Saccharomyces cerevisiae S288C: one gene and its partners. The gene in region 4 interacts genetically with the main gene of each other region. Each region holds a gene or a part of one and is shown on either strand. Other genes may lie near its edges.

Region 1 (4,801 bases), on a different chromosome or scaffold from region 4:
GTCTTGCACAATCTATCCACACTACTGCTGTCGGTATCCTGAATTGCTCACTCGGAATTGAATAAACTTTATTGTAGCACAAATACATGAAGCTAGACAAAATAATTGACCAACAGGCCCCTATCAATTGGGCACAGAACTGAGCTCTTGGGGAGGCGCCGAGGAGGTGCCCCGTTTTCAAATCCTGCATTAAATCGCCCGCCTGTTGGGCAGAGGCTTCTGCAATACCTCCCGATACCACGTTCATTAACACTGATCCAGGTCTATCCCTTGGTATGATAAAGGCAAAAATCAATTGAGAGATCTTACCAATGCCGCTCACAGGATTCAGATCGGTCTCTCCAAGTGCTCGAATACCGAGAATAGATAGAAACAACGCAAGTATCAAAGCAGTGATAATAGCATATAGGGGAATTACTTGTATCCCAAACAAATATATTATGGAAACAATGCATATTATCGAGGAGACTAGACATCCACTGATAACGGTGGTATAGCGAACCAAATGCTTCGAATCTACTTCTATTTCGTTATCTCTACTCACTAATCTTACGGTGTCCTGCCTTCCATCAACATATGTATTTCTTCTGCTGCTATTAATGGCGCGTTCCTCCTCCAGTAACATAGATTGAAATGTATCATCGATTATGTTGTTCAGTAAAGCAGCTTTGTCATCTATAAGAATAAATTTCACAATGGACTTCACTGTCACAACAATAAAAGCGACTACACTGTCAGCAACCATTATTGAAAGCGACGACCAAAGAATCCATCCTTGCACTCCCTCCTCCCAGTCGTGGACATCAGCATCTGGTGGTACCCATCTTTTGTATCTCGCCAATGGTGCTAACACACCCCAGCCTAAGAAGCACCCGATAAGCATATACGATACTGTTGGAAGACCCATTATTATCCCTTGGCCTATATACGCAGGCGACGGCTGAAAATTCCAGAGATAATTGTTCGAGAGGTATTTTCCGAAGACTGGAATAGACCGTATTACCGGTACAAAATATGACACCATGGTGTAAAGCGAAGAAACAACAAAAGTTTTCAATAAAATAATAATATTCGCTCTGTAGTTCTCAGAGCCAGTAGAAAGGATAGAACTTCCATCTTGGCTAGTTGCCGTATAATCACCAAGTTCGCTATGAGAAGAGTTCATTAAATAATCCGCCTCCTCTGGATCTCTGTTGGGTTGTAGCACTTCAGGGCATTCATTCAATCTCCTCTGCCTCATTTCCAATAACTCTGACTTAGAAACCTCTTGTAAAATCTCAGTTCCATTTAGCACTGAAATTAAAGTGGCCGTGGCGCTACCACTGGGGAAGGGAAGTTTCTCTCTAACAATTACTTGCTTTCTTAGAGGAACTGCAAAAAAAATACCGAAGAATGCTAGGGCTGTGGACCATATTAACAATTCTCTAAAAGTGAAGGACTGTCCTTGTTCCCTTAATCCACCACTTTCGTCGTTAGTAAGGAACTTCTCGATGGCAGGTATGACGCCGACAAACCCAAAGGCTAATGGGCCTGTTCCGACAGCTACTGCCATACTTTGTACGTATACATTTTCAACGTCACTGAAAGGCCTGTCGTTCGGAAATATTAATGGCCAGATATTTTTAAAGAAAGCACAAGCTAACAATGCCGATGGCAGGGACATCATGGAAACCCAACCGGTTTGCAGGCCAAATTGAAAATTTGATGTTAGCACCAGAGACCCTATAGCGATACCTGCTATGGTTGCTCGGAGTGTTATCTGCTTCAAAGCAGGTTTATTATCCCATGGTACACGCTGTACTTCTTGACTTGGAGTAGATTGAGGCATTTCAAAGTATTTACAGTACCGATTTAGAATCTTTAACGGTTAGTCCTCTATACTGTGACTCTTTTTCTTCCTATCTTGGTGCGAAAATAAAAAAAATGATGCCTTGAGATAGATCTCACGAAAAATACCTTCTACGGCGTTAAATTTACAGCTTTTCTTTAGCTGCCTGTACCTTTTTGATGAACTAATTTATTTTGGTATCAACAGACAATACTACAAAAGGCTTTGCATTATCTTCCTTCACCCTTATATGCAGCATTCCCCCCTCCCAGAGATCGCATCAGTATCATTACTAATCGATTTTTCACTTCGCTTTATAACCGAATTTCCGCCGAATTATACCCAAAATAAGCAAGATGAAAATATATTGGTCAGATGAAGTATGCATGACTGATTAATCATGACTTTATTAGTTGCATTTATTTATAGTATGTACACAAAAATCTCATCGGCTCGTTTCAGTTGCTACCTAGAAGGATATATTTGAGAATATCGCTTAACGTCAAGACACCAACCAACCGTCCGACGTCATCAACTACAAAGAATCTATGCACCCTTGCTTTTCTGATGTTATCCATAATAGTAGATAATTTATCATTCTTAGTGCATGTATAAACACCCTCAAAATCATCACTTCTCCTCATAAGGGCTTCTCCGACGCTCAATGACAGGTCGTTGTAGATGCCTCCTTTTATCAAGCCTAGGACATCGTATGCTTCATATACGTTGATTAAGTAGCCGTTTTCGTCAATAATAGGGACGGAAGAAACCCGACCTTGGGTAAGCATCTGAATGACGTCTATGACCGGAGTGGTCATTTGACAGCTTTTCATGTTATCTTGCGTAATAATGTTCAAGTCCCCAATTGGAATCTTTAGAAAATGTGTTTCCCTGCAATTTAAAGCAACGAACTTCAGAATTCTATATTGCGTAAGAACACTAACGACAATTTCTCTATGTGTCTCTTCATCTTGATCGATCAGTGGTATTCTACCACTTCTTGATTCTAACATCTTAAGACACGCCTCAAATAAGGGTCTAGAAGGATGAATTGAAGCTGTATCTAGTTGATCAACACCGAGAGCACGCTCTATATCTTTTAATCCATCTAACTGTAATTTGTCTACTAATTCGAACTTATCTGGATTGGAGAAGTAATACTGGATGACATTAATAAAATCTGTAGTAGTTAGAAGTCCAGCGAACCTGGAAGTCTTGGAGTCCCATAATGGCGCAGAGACAATGCTATTTTGCAAAAGAACATTCAGTGATTTCTTCACTAACAACGAGGTGTCCAAGACAATTAAACGGTAAGAAACAGGCAACACGTCATAAGATGTTTTCGAGTTCAAAAACTTCCTTATCGATTCTACAGCTAACTGCTGTTCAATAGAAACCTTTTCTTGTGAATCCTGTGTCGGTTTCATTATGTATTTTCCTTTTCGCTTCCTCCTAATGCTAACACAGCAGAAGATGTTTAGCTAACGTTAAAAGATTGATACAATTTTCCAGTTTGCAGCAAAACCACTAGCCCAAGAAGTTCTCAATGTAGATATTATGTTAATAACGATTATTGCATTGCTATGGTTTCTTCCAAGGCCTAAATTTTGTTATTTGCTAAATTTCTCTCCCTCCCAGTTCTCGCGCGTGTGGTGTGTGGGTTCTTTAACATGTGATGAGTTATATCTTGATGTATTCTCAAGGTTCATTACTTTTATTTCTTAAGCTTCTTGAATACATTTATGTTTATACATTATGTATGCGTGTATGGAAATTTCATTATATGCCTTGACATGAACTTTTATTTTTTTTATTTTATCACCTGATCAAATATTGGCTGGTACTAGAGGGCCTCCTTGTATGAATCTCACTCGAATTTTTGGAACGATTCTCCTTATCATTTGTTCGACAACCTTCCTTGCCAATAAGTCCTAGCATACCATCCATCAATCCGTCTTCTCTCGATCTTCCTGTACATCTTGGATCAAATATCTTATAAAATTTTAAGTTTTCATCTCCTCCCACTGTGGCCAATGTGGTTCCGTCAGGGGACAATTGAGAACAGCATATTCTTGCTTCATGAGCATGAACTACTTCTGCAACTTTGAATTTTGTTTCATAATTATAAACAGAGATTGCATTCTCTGGATTACCTCCTGTGGCAACAATCTCTTTATTCATCATACCACCATTGGTTGACGTATGACTTTGGCCCCAATGTAAAGAGCTCACCTGGGATCCGGTATTGATTGAGCCAACTCGTGCACCTGTGATACTGTTCCAAAAATGGATGTGTTTATCTGTTTGTCCGCCTCCAGAGGCTAGAATATTTGGCGAATATGGACACCAGCTTAGTGCTTTTACAGCAGCAGTATGCGTCTTCTTGGAAAATTGAGGCAAGGACGTTCTGGTATCCCAAATCATTACAGTGTTATCATTACCACCAGATGCAAGTTGCAATCCGTCACTTTTATAGCTCAAACCGCAGACTTCGCCTGTGTGCTCTGCCCATGTAGATACAATATGCTGTTTGATCCTGACATCATTGATTTGAATTTCTCCACTACGACTGCCTGTAGCTATCAAAGTATCTAACCAAGACAATGAACCGATACGGACACCTAAGCCTGATCTCATAGTTCTAATTAATGACATGGTCTCAACGTCCCAAATTTCGGTGTTCCCATCCTCTTTACCGATAGAGATATGACAATCATCATCAGACCACGTAACGCTGCATATTGTGGTGTTTTCGAAATCCGTTAACAGGGAAACATCCCCAGTGGTGGCATTCCACAGATATAATGCAGTGTCTAGTGCTATAGCTAAGACATTTTTTTTGGACCAACTTAACAAGTTTAAATAAAAGTCGTCTTGGAAACCAGGTGCATCAAGAATTCTTTCCGGATTGGTATTGATTTTCCTTAATTTAATTAAATCAGGAATTTTTTGTTCCTGCTGATAACTATAATG
Region 2 (8,735 bases), on a different chromosome or scaffold from region 4:
GAGAGCCATGTTATGTGGTTTGTCTTGTTTTTCTTCAATCCAGAAGTTGTCACAAAGTTTTCTCGTAAACGCCTAAACTCATTCTTTTGAACATTTTCCCTATTTTCAGGTTCCTTATTGTATGAGCAATAATCATAATCTGGTAGTTTCTCCTCAAGTCTCTTGCCTCTGTCAAAGTTAACTTTCCCATAAATACTATCAGAAATTGGCCATAGTTTTAAATCGCAGTCTTTGGACCAAGTAACCAATTGAAATTCACGATCGTCGTAATCCCCATCGCACGTATGTCTTGATCTCCAAAGAAAGTCAATTACTCGGTCACTATGCCCTTTAAATGCATATATTGGCTGGAGTTTCGTCTTCTTATTTTGTTCACTGTCATCATCGTCGCATAGATTAATCAGATAAACTGCGTTATTGCCTCCAACCATTGGCATAATACAATAACCTTCTCCAAAAGGAAGGTAACGTCCTCTCCAGATTGGAAAATTTGTTGTTACAGTTCTCTTTGATTCTGTCGTACTTTTTGAATAATCCCAAAACTTCACCGTCCCATCGTTCGAACTCGACATAATTTCAGAATATTTGAACCGGTTAAAATCTATGCTATTTACGGAGCTTACATGGCCTTTCAAAGAACAGAGGGGAGTGGAGCCTTTTCTCAAATCCCACACAAATATATCATTTCCATGTGAAGATGCCAAGACGTTAGGATCCTTGTAATTCCACTTCACTTGAGAAGCAGCAGATCTCCATGAACTTGTCGAATAAAATGGTCTATGTGGACTTCTCATATCCCAAGCATGTACATACGTATCGACTGAACAGGTAGCTAAAACATCCGGATGTTGCGGATTGAAGTTTATATCTGTAATTGCTCTTGAGTGCCCATGAAGTACAAACTCAATGGCATTTGATGAAGATTTTGCTAAGTTCCATATGATTGCCTTTTGATTCGATGTCGAGACTATCCAATATGGTTTTGCGGGATGTGGCGACCATTGTACATCAGCAACTTGCCAGGGCGTAATATGATGCAACCACCTTGGAGGTGTAAACGGATCATCCAGGTCGATAATATAAAGACCTTGCCGACTGGCCAAAACAATATCCCTACCAGAGGGATTGATAGATACGGCATTGAACCCACCATCTACTTTCAACGATAATGATTTTCCAAAAGTGGGCGAATTATACGGACCTTCATTTATACTACTGCACATAATTAATTCTTCAGTGAATAAACGGGCCAGAGGCGATTTCCCTCAAATATCTTACAATGTTTTTGAAAGTGGGGTGCTCAGCTGATTTGCATCTTTTGATGACCTACTCTGAGATGTTCTTCGACTACATCCCACAGAATGTAAGGGTAACTTGTAATTATCTAACTGTTGCAACTTAGTAAAAATATACAGAAATTCAACGTATGTAAGCAGTCACACTGACTATTTGGCAACTCATACTTAGTAAAGATATCATAGAAGCATTGTAAAATATAAAAAAGGATAGATATATTATTGTCTACTCTTTCGTAACGGCATCAAAAATGGCCTTGAAAGGGCCCTTGAATCCTGTCCACTTTTCAAACTGAGCTACACCTTGGTGTACTAACATTTGTGATCCAGGGACAACGTGCCATTGATATTTGTCTTGTGAAATTGTCATAACGGGAGTAACGCTTGGTTTGTATGCGGCTTCCAATAAGGTTGGTACAAAAGCAGCATGGGCACCTTTCACAAGGAATCTCTCCAGCTTACTTAAAAGTTCGTCATCTAATGGTTTGTCGGCTGGTACACAGCTGACAGCAACGCCAACGTGTTCCTTAATCTCTTCTATAGATTTAGTGGACTCTATTCCAATAATGTTGAATTCAGATGGAAGTGACTCTATTAATGGCTTCAATTTCGAAGTTGTCCTGTTGATTATGAAGATCTTTTTGCAACCTAAACTGTGCAAGGCGTAAAGGGCGGCTCTAGAAGTGCCACCTGCACCGATAACCAAACCAGCGGTATGACCAACATATTCGGGAACGCCATTGTTAATTAAGGCATTACGGATACCTAACCAGTCGGTATTATCACCCTTAAACTTCTTGTTACCCAATGGTATAACTGTGTTTACAGCACCAATAACTTTAGCAGCATCAGTCAATTCATCCATGTACTGCATTATATCTAATTTCAGAGGAATTGTGACTGCAGCACCGCCAAAGTTCTTGTTTCCGTCCAAAAGTTTTTCTTTCACCAATTGTGCGGATTCAGTTTCAAATTTATCGAACTTGTGAGGTAAACCTAAAATTTCATAGCCAGTGTTATGTAAAATTGGCGATCTAGAGTGGCCAATTGGCTTTCCAACAACAAACAGTTCCTTAGGCTCGATACCTCCCATAGATGTATACATCTTGTTAATTTGTGCTACTGTCAATTGGCCAGGGGCAGCGGAGTTAGGCAATAAATCTGATGTCACAGGTGTTAAAACATTATTCAAAACACGAGAAATGCTACCTTTAGAAGTCATATTAACTGCAATTAAAGGCTTATTCTTGTGTGTATCCCTAAAGTGTTCCAGTCTCAAATTATCTTCGAAATTAACAGCCGTACCCACAAATTTTACAACATCCACATCAAGAGTTAACGCTTGATTGAATCTGTTTTCCCATTCAGCGTCGTCCCAGGAGTATAATCCTTGGAAGTCATGATGGGAACCAATGATCTTGGTGTTGCCCCTTTTGTTAATAACCTCATATTGGATATCAGTAGGTAAAGTTAGTTCTAAGTCAAGGAATTCAACACCATTCTTCAAGGCAATATCGTATAGCTCTCTCAAGGTTTTGAACTCTTCATCAGGAAAGTTGCCACCTTGCTTCATGGTTCGCACAGTAAAAATGATAGGAATACTGTCAGTGGCTTTACGCAATATAGATAACTGTTTACTCACGAAATCAGCAGAGTAATTAGCCAAATGGTCTACTCTGACCTCTACAGCCTCACAACCATAACAGATTGGAGTCAAATTCTCAGTTTGTTCAGTTAAGTCATCAAAGGTTAAACACACAAAGGCAGATCTTCCGCTTGGAATTTCTATTTCTCTGACACCTGTAATGGTTGCAATGTACTTACTAAACGATCTTCTTAGAGCTTGGAACTCAGCTTCTGCGGAGCAATGAGGAGCAAAGAAAGAGAAATTTGAGCATTCTTTATACCACCCCTCCCTTCTGTTCCAAACTTCACGAATTTCTTCCACATAGGCAGGTCTTGAAGGATCACTTTGTAAAAAGACAATTGTCTCCTCAATATCCCTATGTAAGTGTAAAACGTATCCACCTGATGAGGCAAAATCTTTTAAGGCTTTTCTAGACTCAGCGCTTTCAACAATACCGCCACCTGTTGAGAAAACATATCCATCATCGCCGTAATTTTGAATAACTTCCTTGAAAATTCTTGTTTCTTCCTCACGGAACTTCTCCCAACCGTTCTCCACAACAAATTGTTTAACACTTTGATTGTTATGCTGTTGCTCAAACAGCTCGTCTAGGTCAACTAATTTGTAACCCAGAGCGGATGCGCACCATTTACTTATAGTAGTTTTGCCAGCTGCTCTCATGCCAATAATGACAACGCTTTTCTTTGAGTTCTTTTTGGATGTGCACTCTAAAGGTTCTGCACCATCTAATTTGGCACCTAGTTCGGAATGTAACACATCCCACCAGCCAGGCCAGGTTTTACCAGTACAATGTCTTTCAAGTATTCTTACAGGATTAGCAACTTCGTCACGTTCATTTTGAGAATTTACCATTCCTGCAAGAAGCGAGAAACTCATGGCCACACGATGATCATCATATGTGCATACACCGACAGGTCCAGAAGAGTCGGAAGGAACCTTCAAATCTTTTATCGAGTTTAAACCATGGACTTGAATACCATCTGGTAATTCTGTAGTTTTGACGCCAAATTTGGCGAGCTCTGTAGCCATGGCCAAAATTCTGTTACACTCTTTGACACGCTGGTTTGCAATACCTTCAATGGTGGTTGTATTTGCAGAATTTGGATCACTGTCGTGCGAAATAGCGGCAACAACACATGCAGTTAAGAACGCATCAGTCATTGGCTCCATATCAACATGTTTTAATGGCTTTAAAGTACCTACAGGAGGACCCGAAACAGTAGTTGAAGTTGCCGTTTGAGTTATTTTACAACCCATAGGTTTCAAGACATCTCTTGCAAATCTGGCATCACCTTGTAACGACTCAAAACCAATGTTTGGAACCGTTACGGTAGTACCAGTCATTGCGGCGAAGGCCAATGGGTATGTAGCACTTGAGGCATCACTTTCAATGACGTATTCTGATGGGTTAATATAATGTCCCTTTGGAATATAATAAGTGTAAGGTTCTGTAGTAGAAGTTTCAACATTGATACCGAATTTTTCCATCATTTTTATTGTCATATCGACGTACAATTTAGAGATTGGCTTACCACCAACAAGAGCCAAAGTTACAGGTTCTTCAGCGTATGGGGCACACATCAAGATAGAGGATACGTACTGAGAAGAAACTGTAGCAGCTAATTCAATTCTACCACCTTTGAATACCGAATCAGTATAAACTTTGATTGGCAGGGAACCTTCATTATTCAAGTACTCAATTTTAGTACCATTAGCACGCAAAGAATCGACCAAAGGAGCAATTGGTCTTTGTTGCATTCTTGCGTTACCAGTTAAAACGATATACTTTTGGCTTGAAGTAGAATTGACCAAGGCAGCCAAGGAAGTCAAAAATCTAGATGCAGTACCTGCATTACCTAGATATAAGGGGTCAGCACAAGCTGACAATGTGGAACCACCATGTCCTTCCACCACTACCGTCTCACCATTATCTTCCCATGATATCGTAGCACCTTTCAATTCATGAACAGCGGTTAACATATGTTTAGTATCATCAGAATGTAATAAGTTCTTGATTTTACATTGACCTTCACCGAGGGCAGCAAGAATTAAAGCACGATTGGAGATGGACTTAGAACCAGGGGGGATAACAACTTTCTGTTGATCAGCAGGGATGTCCTTGAAGGGGTAAACGAGGGTTTCATCTGTTAGAATAAATCTCAGGTCTTCATCGCTAACAAATTGAGCGGAGTCACCATAGCACTTACCAATACTTTCTAAAATGACCACCTTCTTTTTGGAACCCTCGTTTTTCTTGTCAATACTCATTTTCTTCAATAAGATATCCAATGGTGTTTTCTTATGTAAGGTTAGCTCTTTAAACCATTTCTCATCAGGCGAAACAGGCAACCCGTAGGCAACCAAAATCTTGGATAGACGTGCAACTTGGGTAGGGGAGAGAATACCGAAATAACGGGATAATTCCGCCTCTTTAACCATACCAATGGACACACATTCACCATGTAATGCTTGTGGGGTTAGTATAGCTTCATAAGCATGACCAATAGAATGTCCGAAGTTCAAAAGGTTTCTTAGACTGGATTCACGTTCATCCGAAGAGACAACTTCCGCTTTGACCTTAATACTCTCAAGAACTAACTTATATGTATGATCCAACATAGCTTCAATATCTGTATTCGATATCTCGTCAATCTCGTTTGTCAATTGATTGGTAACCTTGACATTTTTTGCCCCATTAACAACATTTAAGAACAACGAAGCGTTTGATTCTAATCTAGTAAATTCGTCAGCGTTCCAAATACAAGCAGTCTTGATAACTTCTGCCATCCCATTGATAAACTCTCTCTTGGCTAACGTTTCTAGCCATTTAATATCTACAAGGACAAATTTTGGTTGCCAAAATGCACCAATAAAGTTTTTACCTAGAGGAGTGTCAATAGCAGTTTTACCACCAATGGAGGAATCGACCATTGCCAATAAGGATGTTGGTACTTGGACAACACGAACACCTCTCATAAATGTAGATGCAACGAACCCAATCATGTCACCAATAACACCACCACCGATCGCTACCATAACCGTATCACGAGTACATCCTTCCACTAAAAGATAATCTTCTAGCTGCGCTTTGGTTTCTCTACTTTTACTTGTCTCACCTGGTTTAACAACATAAGTAAGTAAACGAGAGCCTTCTGGCAAAGAAGCCTTGAATTCCAGGACTAATTGCTGGTAGTATGGAACTTTACTCAAGTTCGTATCATTGCAAATAACGTATGTCGAAGAAGGACAATGTTTAATTATGGTTTCAACCAAATGGTCATGAATGTTATACCCAACGTGGATAATATCATTTCCTAGAATTGGGACTTTGGCTAACTGCACCATCGTAATATACAATTATCTTACGTAGGGATTTCTCAACTAGGAGATTATATAAACTTGAACGACCGAGTATAGCTGTGATCTGTTACTAATGGTTACGAGTCGGCGTCCTACCTTCTATATTAATAAACCGCTTGTATAATGAATTTGTTCGACATTTGCGGTTAGAATCTATGGCGGTGAGAAAAAACCGAGTGAAAAAAAATTTCATGTTCGGGATGAGTCATATGCATGACAATTTACTATATTAAATCTGTGAGATTGGCCAGGAAGGTACCTTTGTCATATATATTGGGAATTTCGGACGCGTCTTTAATCGTGATGTAGTGTGTAAGGTTGTAGTGCTTATGGTCGTAGGCATTCGTGCTATAAAACGTAACATGTTGATCTTGGAGTGGTTCAGCAGCGTCATCTTTTTGTTCTGTGCATTTGAAAAACCAAGATGGGCAATCATCATCCAATGATCTCACCAGTTTTCCTTCTCTCATATACTCTTGAATGGTATACCATTTATCTTGCTCATTTGTAGTCATTCCCTCCTTTACAATGGCCAATTGAAGATACGTGAAAATAGCGCAGATGATAGTGAAGCATCCACATAATATGGTAAGAGTCAGAACAGCTCTAGGGAGCGTACTTGTGCTATTTAAAGAAATGTACCACAGCCTTAGAAAGGCGTAGCACATCGAGAATATGTTGGAAATTAGGAAAAGGTAGAATTGAAGGTAGTTTCCCTTTCCGATGCAGTTATTTATCCAGATGCAATGATGGTCGGCGACGAGAACGCATCGGTTGCAAATGCTACAATGTTTGGATCTAGCAGGCTTGACGATCCGGCATGTCGAACACTTTATGGCAGGATAATACAATAGGTAATCATATGGATATTCCTCTGTCGAGCCTGATTTATGATCCTTTGAATCCTCAGCTCTGCTTACCATGGCTAGAATTCCTAATGCTACCGGCGGTAGTATAATTATAGGCACGATCAGTATTCGTTCTAAAAGGAATAGCTCATTCTTAATCGTAGACTCCACTCTCATGTGGTATGTATATACTAGGTACAGGTAAATAGAGGTGTAGAAAAGAGGTACTAAATGCAACTTCCAACGATATTTTTGGTCATCCACTAGGAAGGGCTGAAACACATTACGATAGAAAGTCGAAAATGGCCATGTTGACTTGAAGACGGGCGAAAGTAATATCAAAACTACGAATCCTATTAGCAGCACAAATAGTAGATTCCATGACATTGTTTGTTCTTTTCATGTTAGGAGACAAAGATATCTTCTTTGGAGGCATAATGAAGTTTTTTTTAGGAAGGCGGAAGTATATATACAATGACACTACCTTTGTTGATAGCTACGAATTTCCTAAAGAGAAAGTATATTGTAGTATTTATATGAGTTGCATAGTACGTTATTCAAGGATAAAATGCCGAATAAATGCTTTAGATGATTTAAAATTCTGTATCGGATGGTTTTAATTAAAAAGTTTCGTTGGAGGTTTTCACCTCATTTTTGAAAAATAAAAATTCAGACCAAAACATTAATTATTTTGGCTTTGAATATACTGACCTCCTGGAAAGCCCTTGGACATTACTAAAATTGAGACAACTGTTTCGATTCCAGCTTAGAACTCCACAGAGCTTCACATGTTTTACACCTCTATTTATATATTCTGACAGTTTCCTTATGCCTTTCCAGTTTAAGGATGAGCGAATGAAAAATGCTTTTAATAAAGAGGTACTTGATGGACCCTGAAAGTTTAAGGAGGCAGATAATGAATGTATATAAATGTTACATGTGGAAGAGAGCGTTCCACAGTAATAGAAGCCTACTGGAAGTTAAACGTCGTGAAAAGAGTCTCCAGAGAAAAATTTTGGAAAGGATTCTTAGACCCAAGGAGGAAAATGCTGTCAAAAAATCTGGATTCAAGCTATGGTCAAGCCATTTGAATAACCCACACAAAACTTATATGCGGCTGGAGGAATTACAGAGACGTATTATGGAAGAGGTACACGTTGAAGGTATTAAAAAGAATGATAAGTTATTCAACGAAATAAATCAATGGCATTTCCAAAATGAAAACACAAGTACTGTTCGAACACCAACATTGCTGATACATGGCTATGCCGCATCTTCAATGTCTTTTTTCAGAAATTATCCAGGTCTGTCCAAGCACATCCGAAATTTATACTCAATTGACATGCCAGCGAGCGGATTGTCTTCAGTACCGTCTTTAGAGATCAATACAACAACACCTCTGCCGTTAGATATCAAATTTATTGGAGAAAATAAATTTAAGGTTCCATATACAATAAATGCAAATCACAATAAATTTGTGATTCAAATGTACGAAGATTTCTATCTCGACAGAATCGAGCAATGGCGCATTGATAACAAATTGGGCAAAATGAATGTTGTGGGGCATTCTTTTGGCGGATATTT
Region 3 (4,713 bases), on a different chromosome or scaffold from region 4:
CGGGAGGTCTGCTTCACGAGCGCGGTGTGCGCCTAGTATTGCCCCGACGGTCCGGGTGCCTATCCCTAGATTTCGTCGTGCCCCGACCCAAATAGTTAAACGTGTGGTTTATGGGTGCACCAGGGCTTTATCGTGTTTTATATCGATGGCGATTTGTGCCTCCAGTGTATTTTTGTATATCCAATTAAGGTTTCTTACCTAATTTTATTTTTATCATCTTTAGTTAATGCTGGTTTGCTCTGTTTCTGCTGCTTTCTGTGCGGTTCTCCTCTTCTCTTGTTTCTTCGTGTTGTCCCCCATCGCCGATGGGCTTATATGGCGTATATATATAGAGCGAGTTTTTACGTCGAAGATCATCTCAGTTTGCTTGATAGCCTTTCTACTTTATTACTTTCGTTTTTAACCTCATTATACTTTAGTTTTCTTTGATCGGTTTTTTTCTCTGTATACTTAAAAGTTCAAATCAAAGAAACATACAAAACTACGTTTATATCAATTAATAATGTCTGAAATTCAAAACAAAGCTGAAACTGCCGCCCAAGATGTCCAACAAAAGTTGGAAGAAACCAAAGAATCTTTGCAAAACAAGGGCCAAGAAGTAAAGGAACAAGCTGAAGCTTCTATCGACAACCTAAAAAATGAAGCTACTCCAGAAGCTGAACAGGTGAAGAAGGAAGAACAAAACATTGCTGATGGTGTCGAACAAAAGAAGACCGAAGCTGCCAACAAAGTTGAAGAAACTAAGAAGCAAGCTTCCGCCGCCGTCAGTGAGAAGAAGGAAACCAAGAAGGAAGGCGGTTTCTTGAAGAAATTGAACCGTAAAATTGCTTCCATTTTCAACTAATCACACTTGAATGTGCTGCACTTTACTAGAAGTTTCTTTTTCTTTTTTTAAAAATAAAAAAAGAGGAGAAAAATGCTGTTTATTCTGACCTTTTACATAAATTTTTCTTAATTGTATCTATCTAATAACTAATCAATATAATAATAATAATACTAATAATAATAATAATAATAATAATAATAGTAGTAGTAGTAGTAGTAGTAATAATGATGATGATGATGATGATGGATGATCAAAAGCCACAAAAAAGAATGCTCCGAGAATAACCTCGGCGGTTATTTCACGTCCCGGAGGAAAAAAAGTTTGATAAGAAAGTAAAAATATGAGCGGTACGAGAATCGAACCCGTGTCCCCACCTTGGAAGGGTGGGATGATAACCACTACACTAACCGCCCGGGTTAATTGTTATTAGTTGGTGAAACTGATCTCAATCACTATAACATTATGGTCTCTTAATAGCAAAGGCCAACCAACTGACTTCTTGCAAACTGATGTTCAATTTTAGCTCTAAAATAAAACAATGTAAAAGAAAGATAAAATGACATAAAGCACTATCGCTTCAACGGCAAACAATATTGAAAAAGTATCACATTATAGTAAGTTGAACACTAAAAGATTAAATAAATACTTCGGCACACTTTCGATGAAGGAAAGCATTAGTAGTAACGTATATATATCATTGTTGTTGCTACTTTTCTTTGTGGGATATGCACCACTCCCCTCTGCAAAGTGAAGAAAAGGTATGGGAAGAATTTCTTCGCTTATATTACTTACTTTACCCTACTCCTTGAATCACTGACCACTCTGTCCATCACCCAGCTCCCAAATTAACTCCTTCGGTACTAAATCCCGAATGTTTCCATTTTGTTCTTGTACGGGATCGCTGCTGCTGCTGCTGCCGGTTTTTGCCTCATGCTTAGCTATGATTTGTTTTCTCAGCTTTTCATTCCTTTCATACAACCAACTTAAGTAACTCAAGCTTTTCAGGTATATGATTAGTTCTGACCGACTTTCCTGGGGTTGCAGGTCAGGTACTACTGCTACCAGTTCGTCAAATATAGCTCTTTCCAATTCTCTCCTTTTTTTTTCAGACGAAACATGATTTATACGTATTTGACCATCAGTCAATTTATTAATCTTCTTAGACCTGCGTTTCCTTTTCTTCACATTAGCCAGTTCACCCTTTATCTCCTTAATCTCGGACAATCCCGGCTGTATTGTTTGTATCTCCTTAATATCGTTCGTCATTATTGCTTTTCTCTTTTTAGTTCAAGCCGCCCTCTTAACTCCTTCGTCAAGCTTATCTTGTTGGCATTGGAATTTCGCAAACGCAATCGCGCCTCTGTCTTTAAGGTGAGAAAAACATGTGAATATTTTGTTTGATACGTAACAAGCTCATACAAACCAAGCCAAGAAAAAGAAGACGACTAATCTATTTATAACAAAGATATTTGTTCACTATAATGCAATATAGTTCGAGGTTCCTAGAATTGAATATCCCGGATTCATTTTTAAATATCAATAAGATTCCTGATGCTACTAAATTTATTACAGTCACTTATATATGCTTAACTGCAACCCTTTTCTGTATAAGGAGATCCTTGTACAACAAGCTAGTTCTTGAAGACCCTAACTTGGACTACAACTTGATTACTTCGCCGCTTTTGCAAATGGTACCTTCGCAGATTTGGAGGTACCCCACCTCATTAGTTCTATCCAACTTCATCGACACTAAAGCTTGGAAGGTGGTAGTGAACTTATTGAATTTGATCATTGGTGGATCCTTCATTGAACGCAATTGGAACTCTTCCAAAGAAATGTTCAAATTTATCATAGTTTTAGGTTCTCTTACAAACGTTCTGATCATCATGCTGACTTTGTTAGTATCTTTTTTCTCTAATAAGGTAAGGCTGGATATTCCCTTAGACGGGAACTACACAATTTTAATCGGTTTCCCTATCATTTATAGACAGTTATTGCCTGAAACAACTATAATCCATCTGAAGACACCTCAATTTTTGGCCAAAAACTTTAGGTTCAAATTACTACCCATTTTTGTAATGTTTACAATGACGGTAACCCAAATAATATGGTTTCATCATTTTGCTCAATTGTTCTCCATTTGGGTTACCTTTTTTGCCAGTTGGTCGTACTTGAGGTTTTTCCAGAAACTTGCACCCTTGAATTGTCCCTCTTTGCCAACAACTAATTCTCAAGGTGGTCAGGAAATATTGGTCGGCGATGCATCTGATACTTTTCAATTGATTTACTTCTTTCCTGATCTAATTAAGCCGATTTTGAGGCCGATTTTCAATTTCATTTATAATGTAGTTGTTGTAAAATTTAAAGTCATTAAACCTTTTCATGATATTGATATAGATATTGGGAACACCATCGCAGAAAGTAGAGGCGCCAAAAAAATTATGACTGTAGAAGAAAGACGAAGACAGTTAGCTTTACAAGTTTTGGAAGAGCGTATGGTAAACCCTTGATATATGGATCTATATAACTTGAAATATGCTCTATTATATCGTGATTTAATGACGGCTGTTGGCATTTCGGTCTTTACCAAGGTAGTAGGATTTGTATGCTGAATGTGCGCCAGTACTATCGAACCATAGAAACCCATATATTCCCCAATATTAATAATTCTACTGAGAAATGGGTGAATTTTGAAATAATTGTTGGGATTCCATCGTTGATAAAGGCTATAATATTAGGTATACAGAATGTACTAGAAGTTCTCCTCGATGATATAGGAATCCCCATAATGGAATCTATATTTCTATGTACCAATATTACGATTATTCCTCATTCCATTTCATATGTTTCATTATCCTATTACATTATCGATCCTTGCATTTCAGCTTCCTCTAACTTCGGTGACAGCTTCTATAATAACTTATGTCACTATCTAACACCGTATATGATAATATATTGATAGTATGACTACTAGTTGATAGACGATAGTTGGTTTTTATTCCAACATCTACATAGTGGCACTCACTACGCTGCTAAATTTGATCATTTGGTGAATAATTTGATAATTAGTAGTTCTTCTCCGGGATATAGGAATCAACAAAAGGAAAACGATAGTTTTACATAATAATATTAATTTATCTTGCTTGGTTCGCCTTTGAAGAGCGCAGCTTTCAGAGATTTAGCTTCTATGGCCAAGTTGGTAAGGCGCCACACTAGTAATGTGGAGATCATCGGTTCAAATCCGATTGGAAGCATTTTTTTTTAATATTTTAAAATTGTTTATATTTTTGTACCACAAACATCATTAGAAGCTGCAAATGAAGTGAATCAGAAAATTTAAAAATGAAACTAAATACTAAATATTATTGTTCTTTTTCTAACAGTTGAAGTGCCAAAAGCAGTAAATTGTTTAAATATTAGGGTATAAAACATGATATTATAAAGTTAATGATTTAGAATGGCTCCGTCCAGCAGAACCAGTTGATTACCATTAATGTTGAGAGTTTATGCGAGTTTTTCAGGCTCGATTATGAGATACGGTACTAGATAATTCAGGATTATCAGGATTATCAGGGTTTACCACTTGCAATGGTCCGCTCATCATCATGTCGGGTAAAGAATTGGCACTGAACCTTTCATTTGCACTATTCAAAGTATTTGCCTCTTCAAAAACTGTCGATGGAAGGTTCTGTTTCTGAACCGTAGCATCTTGTAAGCCAGCCAAGTTGTTTATGATGCTTCCACTGGTGTTTGAACTAGGACTACTATAATTTGCACCATTACTCATAGAAAAACCATACATATTACTTGTACCGATAGAACCCGCTGTATTACCCCTTGAATGTCTCATCCAATTTGTCGTACCAGAGGAGGGAGGCGGTCCTATT
Region 4 (5,087 bases):
CCCTCTTGTGTTTGCTTTTAGAGGCTTTCTCTACAGGTATCAGTATGGTGTCCTCATCCTTCTCCCCTGCCTCTGCTTCGACTGGAGCTAACCCATTTTCGTTCTTAAAAGTTTTCTTCCTCCACTCTCTTAATCTTCTTGCCTTCATCACTTTCCTTTTATCCTTCGCTCTTAGTTCCTTGGAACGATAAGGTGCAAATTTCTTCAAACCAATAAATTCATTTAAATCAGTATCATCGGCGGCGAAAATCTCTCTTGCGGTCAAACCGAAACTCTCAGGAGAAACTTCACGGTAACGAAACTTCAAATCTTGCTCCTCTTTTGTACGGCTTCTACTCTTTCTTTCTTCTTCTTCTTTTTCAACCTCCTCTATTAGTGCTAGTTTGTTTTGTTCCAAAGCATTTTCCACTAATTCATTTACCTTTCTCTTTTCTTTCTTCTTTTGCAGTTTCTCTTCTTTCTTGCTCTTCTTTCTTTTTGGACCTTCTTCCTCGTCTTCTTCTTTTTGTTCTTTTTCCACTTCACCTTCTTCTGTTTGGTCATCACCATCGGCGTCTGCATAAAAGTCACCCATTATTTCGTCATCCTCGTTCCAGGTAGGCTTTCCCTCTTGTTGATAAAATTCTTCATTAAATAATTCAGCTACCACGTTATCCCACTCTTCTTCTTTGAAATCGTTCTTCAATAGGGTGTCAGTGATTTTTTTCACCATGTCGGCATTAATTTCAGCACCATATTCCTTTGTTAGTTGCTCTAAAATGTCAGTCAATTTATTCAATTTTTTAGTCTTCTTTTTCTGAAGAGCTGTCTCCTTCTCTGCTTTTATTTGCTCTTTAATTTTTCTTTTTTCCTCTCTTTTTCTTCTGCGTGAAGAGTCATCGGATCTTCTTAGTGTAGCTTGACTACGTGCATAAGATATAATTTCAGCTGCGTTTGGGTCCTCGTACCTAAAATTGTAGGCATTCTCAAATTTTTCTGCAGCATCTTCAAATTCTTCATCGTCCTCTTCATTATTGTTGAGGTCAAGAGAAATCACCTTGTCCCCCTTCTTAGGAATCCAGGCCTGTTGATTCACAAATTCTTCCAAGAAATTTTCTTCATTTACGGTTGGATCCGGTAAATTTTTTCCTTCCTTCTTCGTAGAAGGTTCCTTTTTCTTCAAAAACCCATCGTCTTCATCTCCGCTAGACTCTTCATTTTCTTCATCGCTAAAGGCACTCTTGATTTCATTTAAAAGCTGAGTTTTCTCTTCACGTTGTTGCGAGACGAAAGATTGCTTTCCGTCAACAGTTGCATGTTCGTATTCTTCGTCATCCTCCTTTAAGGCATCACCAGAAAGTATGTTCATACGGTGATAATCTTTTAGGTAAATAGGTTTATGCTTCCCCTCACGATTGGCCAGTTTGGCAGCAGCAGATTCGGGATCCTCGAAGAATTTGACTTTAGGATCTAGTAGTTTGTCCGTCTTATTGTTTTTGATGGCATCTAGCACTTGATTAATACCGTTTTCCACTTCATCAGTAATCAATTCACCGTAATCATCTTCCTCCTCTTCTTCCTCTTCGTCTTCTTCCTCATCTTCACTAGGAACGTACGATTTGCTTGCTTCGATTGCAGGCTTAACTGTCGTCGCAGAGGTTTCAGAAGTTTTTATGGTAGCAGTATCCGTTGCAGGTACGGCCGCTTCTTTTTTTGCTTGTTCTCTAGCTCTTTTAGCGGCAGACTTTTTTCTTGGCATTGAATTTAGGGTATATCACACTGTTGTTGAAAACTATGAGCATTTTGCTTTCTGAAGAAATGGTTCTGTTAACTAGATGAGATGAGATTGATATATTTGAAAAATTTTAACCGATGACCTTGCGGCTCCTCCGGGTAATACTTTTTTCTCACATAAATATCAAAAAATAACGACGGTATTTCAATAATACTTTTATATAAGTAATGATAACATGCGAGGCAATTTATTACAAGCCACGTAGGCCTAATTAAAATTATAAACTAACACTAAAGTAATAATAATATTTCAGATTAATAAAAGAACAGGAAATAGGAAAGAGATAAAAAAAAATTAGGAACATAAAATAAAAAATAAAGAAGAAATTGAAGGAGTGACTGGATAAAAGAAGTGTATGATAATATCAAATGGAAATTTGAATATATTTTATTCCAAAAAATTTTTTTTCTTTTCCAAGTGAAATATAAACAGCGGATCAAAGGTGAAAAAAATCATAGTATTTTGTTCATTAAATTTTCCGAGGGGAAAGAGAACAAATTAATAGAAAATTATTATTCAGCAACTTTCGTAGGTTTAATTTTATCAGCAAATTCACCCAGAATTTGTAACTCAAAATCATTAAAATCAAACAAATTTGGTAGCTTGATTGGTTCAGTGAAACCTCTTGGTAAGAAAGTGTCATCATTCCTTAATTCATTAAAGAACTGATGGGCAAGGATTCTTCTTGGAGACAGTCTTTGTTGTGGTTCGTAGACCAATATTTTCATCAAAAGATCGATACCATCTGGACCGGAATGGCCAAAATACTTCTCAAACCTCTGTTGCGAAGAGCCCGAGAACAGTGGTTTGGAAAATAGAGGGCCATCGTAGGCCGGATTCGAAAAGAAAATGAATCTTTTATCGGGAGGACCTAACAATTTAGCAATTTCCCTTAGCTGTAGAAGGGGTTCTTGACCTTGAAATATGGCTTTGCCGATAAGCATCTCGCCCATGACACAACCAAGCCCCCATATATCGATCTGGGTGGTATATTGGGTACAACCAATGATCAATTCAGGCGCTCTATAAAATCTTGAACAGATGTAACTAATTGAAGGCTGGTTATGTTCCAATTTTTTGGCAGACCCAAAATCGCAGATTTTCAAGACACCGGTTTCCGGGTCTACAAGAACATTGGATGGTTTGATATCACGATGACAAACGCCAAGACCGTGTAAATAAAGCATCCCGCGGGCAATCTGATAAGTGTATAGCCTGATATGTTTTAATGGCATTTCTAGCTTGTTTGTCACATAACGATTAATCTCGATTTGTAGAGTTTCTGGTAAGCATTCCATGGCAAGGTGTTGATAAACTTTATTATCTTGCGGGGACAAATGAGTAAAGAAATACTGCAATTTAACGATATTTGGATGGTCGGCAATCCTCAGAATCTGTAATTCCCTGGACTTGTACTCGGTATGAGCAGGGACTTTTTTAATTGCAAAGGGGCCCAACCAGTTTTTCTTATCCTGGGTTAAATATGCTTGTACAACAGTCCCAAAGGCACCTCTACCGATTTTCCTGTACTCTTTCACCAGCATCCGCCTCGTGTTGTTCGATTTATTCGAGGTTACATCGTCTGCAATGAATTCAGATCCCCTTTGCAGAGGAACACCATTCTGCTCTTCCGTAGACATATGTACTAGAATGTGATGGAGTGGGGGTTTCGGAAAATAAAAAGAAAATTGAAAGATGAAGCAAAGAACTCTGTAGTCTTGGGCTTAACTCCTATCAATAAACACGTTACGGGCCTGCCCACACTACTAACACGACACAATGGCACTCACTTGCGAAATCTATGTCGTTTTCCCTTGGAGGTTACGCCTGCCCTCTTCCGCATATGAAGGTCGCTTTTTTCAGTGTTGTTTGTGGGTCACTGAACTGTCATTACATACGAACTGAGTGGAAGCAAGAATGCTGCTTTCGAAAGCCACTACAGCTACGTGTGATCATATAATTCCTGCATAATATGGCTGCATGCTTTTTAATGATAGCTTCAATTATGATGATAATCACTGAGCTACTAGTATTCCATTATTCAGCCTAAGATTGGAACTTTCTATAGCAGCGGAGAGTGTTTGTTTCGTACTTCGTGACTGTTTGGCATAATAACGATGAATTGGGAAAGAGGGAAGACAAAATGAGAGTAAATCAGGTGGAAAGCAGTGGTTCTTCTGAAAAGAAAAAGTGACAGTGTGAACTGTTATAGTTACGTGTGATGCTGTTACAACCTGTTTGGAAAGGCTGCCGATGGACGCAGTTTGTCAGGCCTATCAGAAGATGGAATTCTACCGGCACGAATAGAGGAGTTCCTTTTTCATTTAAGGATATTTCAAATCAGGAGGATATCACGAATATCTCGTATCCTTCGTCCTCTGACTCAGTTTTGACAAAGTCAAATGGTAGTAGTGAGGTTTACAAGCCCAAAGAGGAAGTAGTTAAGTACATTCTACATGGCAAGTTTACTAAAAATAACACGCATTTGACATTTTCAAGCGTTGTGGAGGACAAGAACTTTCATAAGAATAAGGGACTTACGTATAATGATACAATGCTGTACTATTTGAACTTACCCCAGAAAGTGAAGATTTCGCTATCTACAGGTTGTTTAGGGTTTAGGAAGGCAGCAAGAGGGGAGTATGAAGCTGCATTTCAAACCAGTGGTAGAATGTTTGAATTGATTAAGGAAAAGAACATGCTGAACAAAGATATCGAAGTGGTGATGGACGACTTTGGGAAGGGCAGAGCTGCTTTTATTTCCGCTCTTGTTGGTAAGGAAGGGGCCAGTGTGGTGAAAAAGGTTGTGAAGATCAGCGATGCCACCAAATTGAAGTTTGGTGGTGTAAGATCACCAAAGATGAGAAGACTATGATCAGCTCCCACTATGTATGAATTATAAACTATGTAAAAGAAGAAGAAATATATATATATTCGTGTAAATAATTCGATTTTTCCCTTTTTTTAATTGTCGTCGTTAGAGTTGGCCAAAATCCTTAAAATAGACAAAAACAAATTGACGATGTCCAGGTAAAGCATCATGGCGCATCTAACTTCTTCATCAGGATACACTTTCCTAAAAATCAGTTGCGTATCGATGAAAAGATACGCGGTAAATAAAATGGCACCAAGCCAGCCGTAAAGCAGATTAAACTTGGAAGAGTGGGTATTCCAGCCGAAAAGCAAGGCCGTGAGACCCATTCCGATCATAATCCATAGACCCCAGTTTAACCAATAGTATATTGACGTTGCGGAATTCAGCACGTTCTCGAATCTCTCTGATAGTGCGGTCAAGGAAACGCCGACTACGACG

Evidence for each region.
Region 1: mutations in MCK1 (region 4) and SNF4 together harm fitness more than expected from each alone (negative genetic interaction), as found in Saccharomyces cerevisiae (5 studies listed by BioGRID).
Region 2: mutations in MCK1 (region 4) and ARO1 together harm fitness more than expected from each alone (negative genetic interaction), as found in Saccharomyces cerevisiae (5 studies listed by BioGRID, with this or other methods).
Region 3: mutations in MCK1 (region 4) and INO4 together harm fitness more than expected from each alone (negative genetic interaction), as found in Saccharomyces cerevisiae (5 studies listed by BioGRID).

The regions. Positions count from the first base shown.
Region 1 is NC_001139.9:290,487-295,287, reverse strand, and holds SNF4 (AMP-activated serine/threonine-protein kinase regulatory subunit SNF4), read right to left. Parts: upstream 3,256-4,801; coding exon 2,287-3,255; downstream 1-2,286. Other genes in the region: YGL114W (uncharacterized protein), read right to left, coding at 1-1,828; ubiquitin-protein transferase activating protein CDC20, read right to left, coding at 3,647-4,801. UniProt on the Saccharomyces cerevisiae protein: Adenine nucleotides-binding subunit gamma of AMP-activated protein kinase (AMPK), an energy sensor protein kinase that plays a key role in regulating cellular energy metabolism.
Region 2 is NC_001136.10:702,037-710,771, reverse strand, and holds ARO1 (pentafunctional protein ARO1p), read right to left. Parts: upstream 6,289-8,735; coding exon 1,522-6,288; downstream 1-1,521. Other genes in the region: MTC5 (Mtc5p), read right to left, coding at 1-1,223; palmitoyltransferase SWF1, read right to left, coding at 6,528-7,538; ECM18 (alpha/beta hydrolase family protein), read left to right, coding at 8,014-8,735. UniProt on the Saccharomyces cerevisiae protein: The AROM polypeptide catalyzes 5 consecutive enzymatic reactions in prechorismate polyaromatic amino acid biosynthesis.
Region 3 is NC_001147.6:109,795-114,507, forward strand, and holds INO4 (Ino4p), read right to left. Parts: upstream 2,093-4,713; coding exon 1,637-2,092; downstream 1-1,636. Other genes in the region: SHR5 (Shr5p), read left to right, coding at 1-95; ZEO1 (Zeo1p), read left to right, coding at 503-844; YOL107W (uncharacterized protein), read left to right, coding at 2,308-3,336; WSC3 (Wsc3p), read right to left, coding at 4,344-4,713. UniProt on the Saccharomyces cerevisiae protein: Transcriptional activator of phospholipid synthetic genes (such as INO1, CHO1/PSS, CHO2/PEM1, OPI3/PEM2, etc.).
Region 4 is NC_001146.8:54,160-59,246, forward strand, and holds MCK1 (serine/threonine/tyrosine protein kinase MCK1), read right to left. Parts: upstream 3,415-5,087; coding exon 2,287-3,414; downstream 1-2,286. Other genes in the region: KRI1 (Kri1p), read right to left, coding at 1-1,738; mitochondrial 37S ribosomal protein uS11m MRPS18, read left to right, coding at 3,996-4,649; BXI1 (Bxi1p), read right to left, coding at 4,739-5,087. UniProt on the Saccharomyces cerevisiae protein: May be an autophosphorylating tyrosine kinase, a bifunctional (serine/tyrosine-specific) protein kinase, or a serine kinase that is a substrate for an associated tyrosine kinase.